Daphnia pulex: one gene and its partner. The protein of the gene in region 1 purifies or fractionates together with the protein of each later gene. This does not show direct contact. Links are inferred from orthologs where the notes say so. Each region holds a gene or a part of one and is shown on either strand. Other genes may lie near its edges. The genes, in order: gamma-tubulin complex component 2-like and gamma-tubulin complex component 3-like.

The links.
Region 2: the proteins of gamma-tubulin complex component 2-like (region 1) and gamma-tubulin complex component 3-like fractionate together in Drosophila melanogaster (co-fractionation; 3 studies listed by BioGRID). This does not show direct contact. The link is inferred for Daphnia pulex from reciprocal best matches to the Drosophila melanogaster genes Grip84 and Grip91.

Annotation. Positions count from the first base shown.
Region 1 is NC_060019.1:11,565,912-11,570,442, reverse strand, and holds the start of gamma-tubulin complex component 2-like, read left to right. Parts: upstream 1-1,468; 5' UTR 1,469-1,614; coding exon 1,615-1,667; intron 1,668-1,752; coding exon 1,753-1,914; intron 1,915-1,984; coding exon 1,985-2,124; intron 2,125-2,186; coding exon 2,187-2,567; intron 2,568-2,651; coding exon 2,652-2,874; intron 2,875-2,936; coding exon 2,937-3,358; intron 3,359-3,418; coding exon 3,419-3,569; intron 3,570-3,693; coding exon 3,694-3,956; intron 3,957-4,024; coding exon 4,025-4,199; intron 4,200-4,260; coding exon 4,261-4,453; intron 4,454-4,516; coding exon 4,517-4,531.
Region 2 is NC_060018.1:810,768-815,313, forward strand, and holds the start of gamma-tubulin complex component 3-like, read left to right. Parts: upstream 1-1,725; 5' UTR 1,726-1,804; coding exon 1,805-1,880; intron 1,881-1,983; coding exon 1,984-2,357; intron 2,358-2,418; coding exon 2,419-2,521; intron 2,522-2,589; coding exon 2,590-2,708; intron 2,709-2,770; coding exon 2,771-2,927; intron 2,928-2,997; coding exon 2,998-3,558; intron 3,559-3,619; coding exon 3,620-3,794; intron 3,795-3,857; coding exon 3,858-4,198; intron 4,199-4,257; coding exon 4,258-4,478; intron 4,479-4,535; coding exon 4,536-4,546. Other genes in the region: tectonin beta-propeller repeat-containing protein-like, read left to right, coding at 1-166, 223-345, 432-479; motile sperm domain-containing protein 1-like, read right to left, coding at 672-703, 768-932, 996-1,346, 1,432-1,561.

The DNA of each region.
Region 1 (4,531 bases):
TACTTTCTTATCTTTGATGCCCTGATAAGATATTACGATTACATTCATTTTTCACAGACTGTAGAACTCGTTCTATTTCCCTATTCACCAATCTTTGTGAAAACATAGCACCGGCCTACAAAAAACATGCAACGTATGGACGAGCCACTCTTTAATACTGTAGGCCTATATAGACTTATGCTTCTCATCAATTGACCAGGACTGATAAATTCAACAAGAAACTCGAATTTGCTTTAAATAAATTAGAAATTTTCAGTATATACCTGCTGCAAGCAAGAATGAAATGGATACGGAAATGGATAAGGAATGGCGAGGAAGGGAGACTCGAGCAAAATGCGACGATTCGTTTCAACCTTTTTTCTCGGAACAAACGTATCGAAACCCCCCTGCTGGTGAGCTATGAGTAATGACTATTCGCTGTTTTTACTTTTTAATTTTTTGTTTTTTTATTCCTTCTCTTTTATTTCTTTTTTATTTTATATATTTTTTAGCCAATTTTATTATTTTTTGTCAATAATATTATGCTCCTAACTAGTAATTATAGCCTATAATTAGTCTAATGTTTACAAGCCAAGTTTATTAGACATCATATACGTTAAAAGTTAGAGGTCGGGGAATTCTTTATGTAATAGGCTATAATAAACCGAAAATAATAACGTAATTCCATTCGGAAATAAGAATAAGAACAATTAAAGTACTAGCAGCCCTAGCTACTAATAGAAGACGGTAATACCATACAAATGCATTTCTCGTCCACCCCAACTAAATAATAGGCTACAAGTGAACCAAAACTGAGGTTAGAGAGTATGACAGAAGACTAACGTATATATGCGCTGGTGAAAGATAAAATTGATGACTTTTCTTCTATAGGGGATAATACACCTGACGCTATTGGCCCCGTCCCCATTGTAGAAAGTGCCTCTTCAGCCTATTGGTCCAATGTTATGCTTTCACATAAATTTCAAGAGGAGTCTAGTCTCTATAGTGTGTCAAAGAATAAACCATTTGTCACTTTTCTTTACATTGTCGTTTTCGTTTTGAAGGCAAATACCATTTTACCTCTCTTATTCCGTTCATCGCTCTACATTATTGTAATGTGGGGAAGTATTGTATGCACACTATAATAGTGTATAGTGCATCATTTATGCCATTTACATAAAAGCCGCGCAATTTATTTCTTACATATTTTTTGTTACTTGAATTATACAGGCCTACAGGGTTTTAAATAAAGGAATTAATATTAGACCTATAAGCGCACTCTTTTTATTAAAATAAAATAGACTAATGACTTAGGAAGCAGGAATTACCTAAAATGTTGATGTTTAACAAAGAATTAACATTTTATATTTTTTTTTCATAAAAAATCACTAATTTTAATAAGTAATAAAATAATAGCCCTTCTAACGCCTTGCCGGCCTTGCTAACGCAGCGATAATTGTATCAGTTTCATCCGCCAGGTGTCTGCTTTCTTTTGAATTTGACATTACCGCCAAATGTTAGTTCATGAAATGTCAACAGCACAACAGGAATAGGTTTGACTTGACATGTTGTGACTGACGACTTGACGAGGAAACAAAATTGTAACGTTGAAGATTACTACTTGTTCTTGTTGTCATGAGTGAATTCAAAATTCATCACGCTGTTAGCGAATTGATTGATTCGCTAGGGTAAGTTAACTACTTTGAAATACATAATCTAGGATTGGCCGTTGCCCGATCTTACACTGGAATACTTAATTCGTCCTTCCTACAGGCTCACTGACTTGGTTGCACCTGAAAAATTTGTGAAAAACTTGGTGACTTCTCCATCACAGGTCCAAATAACAAATGCTAGAGAGACTGTGCAAACTTTAGCAGCTTTGAGCTCAAATCCATCTGAGATAGTGAACAAGTATGAAGAACTACGGGACAAAAAGTAGGATTTACACCATTTTTCACAAAGTTTACAATCCTGCTAATGGTCATATTAATATTGAAACTTCAAGTTACGCTGAATTGGATTCTTTTGTCCTGATACTTTCAAAGATGAAAGAGTCTAAGACAATGACCCGCTCAGTCAGGGCTGGTTTGCCAAGAGAATCTGTCAAAACCTATTGCACTAGCACAGATAGCAATCAAGGATCTGGTATTTAAATTTTTTCTATATGTTTGTTCATGAATTTAATTACAGTAGAAGTTTTTTTCTAGGCCCATCAACATCCACTCCAATTGTGGTTGGAGGTGTAAAATTGAAGGAATTGAAGAGCAGGTTACAGACTGCAAGTGAGGGTTCATTAGGTCATAAAGTTACTGAACTAACAGAGAAGAGGGTCACATCTAGTGAAATTATACAAAAGAATCCAAAGTGGTTTCACACTAGACCCTTTCTTTCTTGGGACTTTCCTGTTGCTGGGCTATCAGATTCTCATCTACTTCAAGTTGCTCCTCTTGGAAATGTGCCTGTAGGAGATCAAGAAAGAATACTTTTAGAAGAGCTCCTTTATGTTCTCAGTGGGTTTGATGGCGATTACATACGTGCACTACCCTTAACTGCCAACGCCGACGAAAGAAAATTCGAAATTGATGATAGTAATTATTTTTATTCAATAATTATTTATTGAAAATTGTCAGAATAAAAATAAATTTTGTATTTTGTATTTTTTTTTTTTACAGGTGTCGACGATTCACTAAAAGAAATGATTCGAAGATTCTTCCCAATTTTAGCTTCCTATTCTATAATTGAGCGCTTCTACGAGAGTCGTTCTGGATTCGATTTCGGAATGGTAAATGACGCCTTGGCAGCGGCTATTGGCAACTTGGTTCATGAATATCGAATCTTTGTCTGTCAATTGGAAAGTTTATTGCTTAAGAACGAATTGAGTTTGCAGAAAGCTTGGTAATCTAAAGGTTTTATATCTAAGGTATCTTTAAATCAATCTTTTTTTTATATCTTTTAAGGTATCTTCTTCAGCCCAATGTCACGATATTGCATCAACTGCATCATGTCACGCTGTCATTAATGAGAGCTAAAGCTCAAGGCGGCCAAGTATTATCCGTTCTTCACCAACAGACCATGGAAGCGATGGGAAATGAGAAGCAACAGAAACTTTTGCTCTCACTTACCCGTTCTGCAGCCCAGCCATATTGGGAGATTTTGCAAAAGTGGATTTATCAAGGTTCAGTAGAAGATCCATATTTGGAGTTCATGGTTGAAGATCATCAAGTAGTATCCATGGACAAGCTCTCCCCAACGGCTTACAGTGACGACTACTGGGAGAAGCGTTACACTCTACGACGTGATCGAGTACCCTCATTCCTTCTCCCACTTACTGACCAGATTCTTCGTACCGGAAAATACCTTAATGTGATCAAGCAATGTGGTGTGTCCTAATCTTAAATTTATTCAATATCAAATCATCTTTATGCCTTAATTTTGATAGGAATGAAGGTGAAACCACCAAGGATTGATGACTTAGTGTATACACTTGACGGATCAGGCTACAAAGAAGCCATTGAAAAGGCTTACAGTTATGCGTCTGAGACGTTGTTGCACGTCCTCATGCAAGATTACGACCTTTTAGGTCGGCTCAAGTAATATCAGTTTAACCTCATAATGAATTGCATGTGACAATTTTAGCCGATTACTCTTGACTGTTTTAGTTTTTTACGCATTAGAATATGCATTTAATGCCTTAATGGTTACTATGTCTTGCAGGTCCGTGAAGCATTACTTTTTCCTGAATGCGGGAGATTTTATCTTGCATTTCCTCTCGCTATGCGGAGCGGAATTGGTGAAAAACGTTGATGATGTAATGCCCAGCCGATTAGAATCTTTGCTTGAATTGGCACTTCGCACTTCGACCGCCAACGCTGATCCCTTCAAAGATGATCTGGGACTTGAATTACTTTCCTATGATCTAACTACTCAGATGGTTAAGATTCTTTCGATCGAAACTCACGGAGAACGCGACAATCGCGGTATATAATCCTAGTTCGATACCTTCCCACATTTCAATAAAATAGATACATTTTTTAAAAATATTTAGGGGATGGGAACCACTCAATCGACCATGTACGGTTGACGGGATTGGAAGCTTTCTCTTTCATGTACCGTGTTCGATGGCCTGTTTCACTTGTGTTTACGACTAAAGTTATGGCGTGCTACCAGATGATTTTCCGACATCTTTTCTTGACCAAATATGTTGAAAATCTCTTGGGCCGGTAAGGATTTCCTTCAGCGCAATTAATTTTGTTGAAACTACTGATTTAATGACATTTTTAGAGTTTGGATTTCGCACAAAATTGTTCGCAATTATTCGTTTCCGACTAGCCAGTGGTACAACAACGCATTTGCTTTGCGTCATCGCATGCTCCATTTCATTCAAAATTTATTGTACTACATCACGGTCGAAGTTCTTGAGCCATCATGGCAAATTTTTGTTGAGAAAATCCGAAAAGTGGACAACGTCGATCAAGTATGCACAAATTTTTATTTCCGTTCATTAGACAATTTCTAAATAGATAGTTCAAATTAACAGGTTATATCAACTCAC
Region 2 (4,546 bases), on another chromosome or scaffold:
TCCCACTCTCCGTCAAATTTCCGCTGGCGACATTCAAGTTTGGGCAGTGGACTCACAGGATCGCTTGTATCGTCGTAAAGATATCGTTTCAATTCTGCCAGAGGGAACTTCATGGGAACTAATTGATGAACACGTTCTTCACGTGTCAGTAGGGAAGCACGACCAAGTAAGCTTTGGATTTTCAAGATCGGAGGGAACATCAATTATGACCAATTTCTTTAGGTTTGGGCTGTGCTGGATTTGAAGAACAACGAACCTAAAGTGAAAGAGAGGGGTTCAATTTGTATCCGAAGAGGAATTACAGCGTCCTGTCCTGGAGGCACTGGTTGGGAGTTTGTCATTGGGGTAAGTCTTGTTAACCATAATTACAACAACACATATACAGCCATTTCACAAAAATGTTGCATTATAATTTTTCTTCAATTTTACAGGGTGGTTGGAGTTTTGTCTGCAATCGGGGGCACGACATTCCATATTAATTTTCGCTAGTTTTAATTTTCATTTAAATTTTCAAAAGAGACCAGCCAATTTTAAAATTTACTTCATAAATTATCTGAATGGTTACTTTAAGCCGACTTCAAGGAATCTCATTGACGTTCATATCTCTCAAAGTTGGCGAACAGAAAGGTGCGCATTCATTGCGTACTTCGAACTTCTCACAGGAAGAAGGCTTACACCCGAAATATGACCATTGTAACCAGACCTTAATACATTAAAAATTCAAAATTAATTACTGACTCAATTTCTGAAATTTCCAATACACTTACCAAGAGAATAGGCAAATACCAGTTTCTGTTGTGAAGACAAGTGAAACATTGACCAAACAGAGGATGACGAGCCACCTTCAGCTTCATTTGAAGGCAACATTAGAGCTATAATACAAACAACTGCCACCACAATGGCAATATAATTTGGTCCAGCATTTTGATAACCTAGAAAATTATGTGCTTAGTAAAATCATTTGGAAAACAACAATTCAATAAATCTCCAACAACCTAATTTTCCAAGGCTATTTGAGGAAGCTTGAATTTGCATAGTTGAGGAGCTTGAGTCACTAGAAGAGGCTGACGGTACATCTGTGGAGAACTGTCTGAAGTTATCCAGACTAGTAGCAGTTGAGTCTGAGATTCCTGTCGATTTTCCTGGTAATAAAATAACTGGGATATCTTTCTTCCCTAACAACTGTCTGCTGTTGTGTTCATTCATTTGAATCCTGAACTTGTCCGTAACATGGTAGCAAGTTGGCAAAATAGAAATGTGTCGTATTACTATATCCATACAACAGTGAGGTTTTATAGAACCCTCAGGATCGCCAATCTGGTACTTGTGTGGAGCATTACACAGTACTATCAAAAGCATGCGAAAAAAGGTTAGGTTATCAGTGCAATTTTCAAGGACTAATACTAAAAGTGGTATCAGTTAACAACGCACCTTTGAAGTTTACAACAAAATCATATGGGTTGTAAACAGTGACCATTTGTTTATGTGAAGACGACTCATCAGCGAAGAAATTGAGCGAACTTGGGAAAACAAACACTGGTAACCGTTTCACCTCCGTCATTCTCACTTTATGTACAAATGACCCACTAAATATGATCTCAAATCTTTATTTTTGTTACGCAGTCTCTCGAGAAATACTCTCTTTTTTGTCCTTGTTGGACGATTCATAAACAAAGAACACGCCATCTAACGATGAGTTTAAAAACCACCAACGGAGTCCAAGAAAGCAGTAGACTCTTTTTTGAATTTTGTTTATAAAAAAAATACGACAACAGGTCAACAGTTTGTTTGACAAAATTCAATTATGGATGAAAATACAATTCCAGCTCTCGTCGAGAAACTCTGCAGATCTTTGAGCAGTGGAAAGTCTTCAGAAACTAGTATTCAAAGAGCAGTTTTTATTTAATGCTAGCTATTATCAAAATAGCTTGATTTTGTTGTGTGTTCAGTTCTGACAGTACTTTTTTTCTGGGTTACTCGTAGGTAAAGAATATGAAACAAAATACAAACTCGCGCTTCAGTTGCTGTCGTCCCAACATTTATCATCCCAAACCCATGAAACAGAGTTTTCCATTGTCCAAAGTATCAAGAAACTTCTGGGTACTAAGGAACGCTATCAAGATGCTAGGAAGTTTGATGAACTTTATGCCCGGCTAACTGCTAGTGTAAGTGACAACCATCAACATAAATTTTATTTAAATATTAATTGTTTACATCTTCTTCAGTCCATCCTTAAAAACAGAAAAGCTGTTTTGGAATTGATGTACTACTTGGCTCTGAATCCTCCTTCAGCAGCTAATGAACCTGTAGTTCGTCATTCTTTCACACTACCATCATTGGCATCATTTACTACTGATGTAGGACTGAGTTTAAAGAAAGAGATCTTGCACATTTAATCAAAATTTTCTTTGTTTTTAGACCACAACAATGGTCAAGACACCTAAGAATACAGAAATTCCTTATTCTCCTCTAATTTCTCTTTCATCAAGCAAGAAAAGTGCACCACAAACAACACTTTATGGTACATACTCTTAGCTTATAACACACATAGTTCAGAAATTAGCAATCTCACTTTTGTTCATTTTACAGGTCATTCAGATGTCTCCAACCAAGTGTTACTTAGAGAAATCCTGTATGCCTTCCAGGGAATACAAGGACAAGTGTTCCAGTGGGATGCAACCCATGAAAATCTTCACCTTAAATCAACTGTAACTATATACAAACAGCTGTTCTACACATTTATTTTTAATTTTTCCCATTTCCTATTAAGGTAAAATTACCAAAAGCTCTGAAGCAGATGGTACTCAGTTTGGTGGAGTTGGGCTGGCTATTCTACAAAGTTCAAAAGTATTGTGAATCCCCAAAAACGGAATCCACATGTGGGTTAGCCGCGAGGGCTTTCGCCGCCGCTTTACAAGAAGAATTGAGTCAGTAAATCTTGAATGGAGCCCTTTATTAAACTATTACAAAAACATTTGTGTTGACGTATTGTTTCAGGTGAGTACTACAGACTGCTAGCAGTTCTTCAATCGCAGATGGAAGTACACACTGCTAGAACAGGTGATAGCGTTGGAGTCGAGACGCAAGGCTTAACATTCCAGAGGCTGCTAGTATGGACGAAAGAACCTAAAGCCAGGATGAAACTTTTGGCCGCTTTGGTGGAAGCGTGCCATGGTCAACGAGGCGGAGCTTTGGCTTCAGTTATTCACTCTTTCGTTTTACAAGGCAACGCCACCTTGAAAACTGTCGTGTTGAAAATTCTCGTCCAAGTGTGTCGTCCGTTATACGAGATGTTGATGCTTTGGACGTTCGAGGGCGAACTCCGCGATCCTTATGGCGAATTCTTCATCGGCGTGAACCTGGCTGTCGATCCCGGCAGTTTATGGAATGACAAGTATTATGAACGATCAATCATGGTGCCTAATTTCTTCACTCAAGAGCAAGGCCATCAAGTGGCCACCACCGGAAAAAGTATTTGCTTCCTGCGCGAGATTTGCCTGGATAAAAGCCCCATACCGGGATTGAACCAGATTCGTCGTACAGCTGAAGAACGTAGCGGTATGAAATGATTTCCTGAGACATCTACTTCATTTTCATTGAAATATTTCCTTTCATTTAGAATCGTTGCTTTCCTTGGATTGGGAGTCCATAGAAGAAGCTTACAGTACTGCATCTCAGTACTTGCTGCAAGTCTTGCTGGACCGCTATCACATCAAACTCCACTTGTGCGCCCTTCGTCAGTATCTGTTACTTGGCCAGGGAGATTTTGTCAATCATCTGATGAAACTTGTCGAGTAAACTCCAATTTTATTTACTTTTTGTCAAAACACTAATCATGGAATTATTATTTTTTAAAGGCCCGAGCTGGACAAGCCTGCCAACACACGAATGAGCCGTTTGTTGGCGTCCATTCTCGACAAGTGCATTCGCTGCACCAACAGCCAGTACGACGATGCGGATGTTTTGAAACGACTTGATGTGCGCATCAGCGAACCGTCGCAAGGTGACAGCGGATGGGATGTCTTTAGTCTCGACTACAAAGTAGACGGACCGCTAGGAACTATTCTCACACCTGAAGTAAAAACTCGTTACGAGACTCTCTTTTACGCCCTTTGGCGTTCGAAGCGCATGGAATGGATCATGTCCAAATTGCGCCATCAACAGCTAACGGAAGGACGGCAGCTGAGGGGCTTATTAGGTTGGAATTCTGATTTGATTTATAAAAAGAAGTTTAACGACTAAAAAGTGTGATTGCAGAGGTTCAAGGAGTCTTGCATCAAGCCCAGTTGCTGCTCTCCGAAATGATTCATTTCGCCCAGGAAATGTCGCATTACCTGTCGTTCGAGGTGGTGGCTTGCGCCTGGGAGCAGCTCAGCGTCGCCTTACGCAATTCAAAAACCATGGATCAACTCTTGACGGCCCACGAACACTTTTTGCAGACGGTGACCAGCCGTGCGCTCCTCGACGAAGAATCAAAGGTAGAAATAGTTAGATTTTATTGGATTCCAATGAATCTATAATTCATTATGTTCCAGGATATACGGGA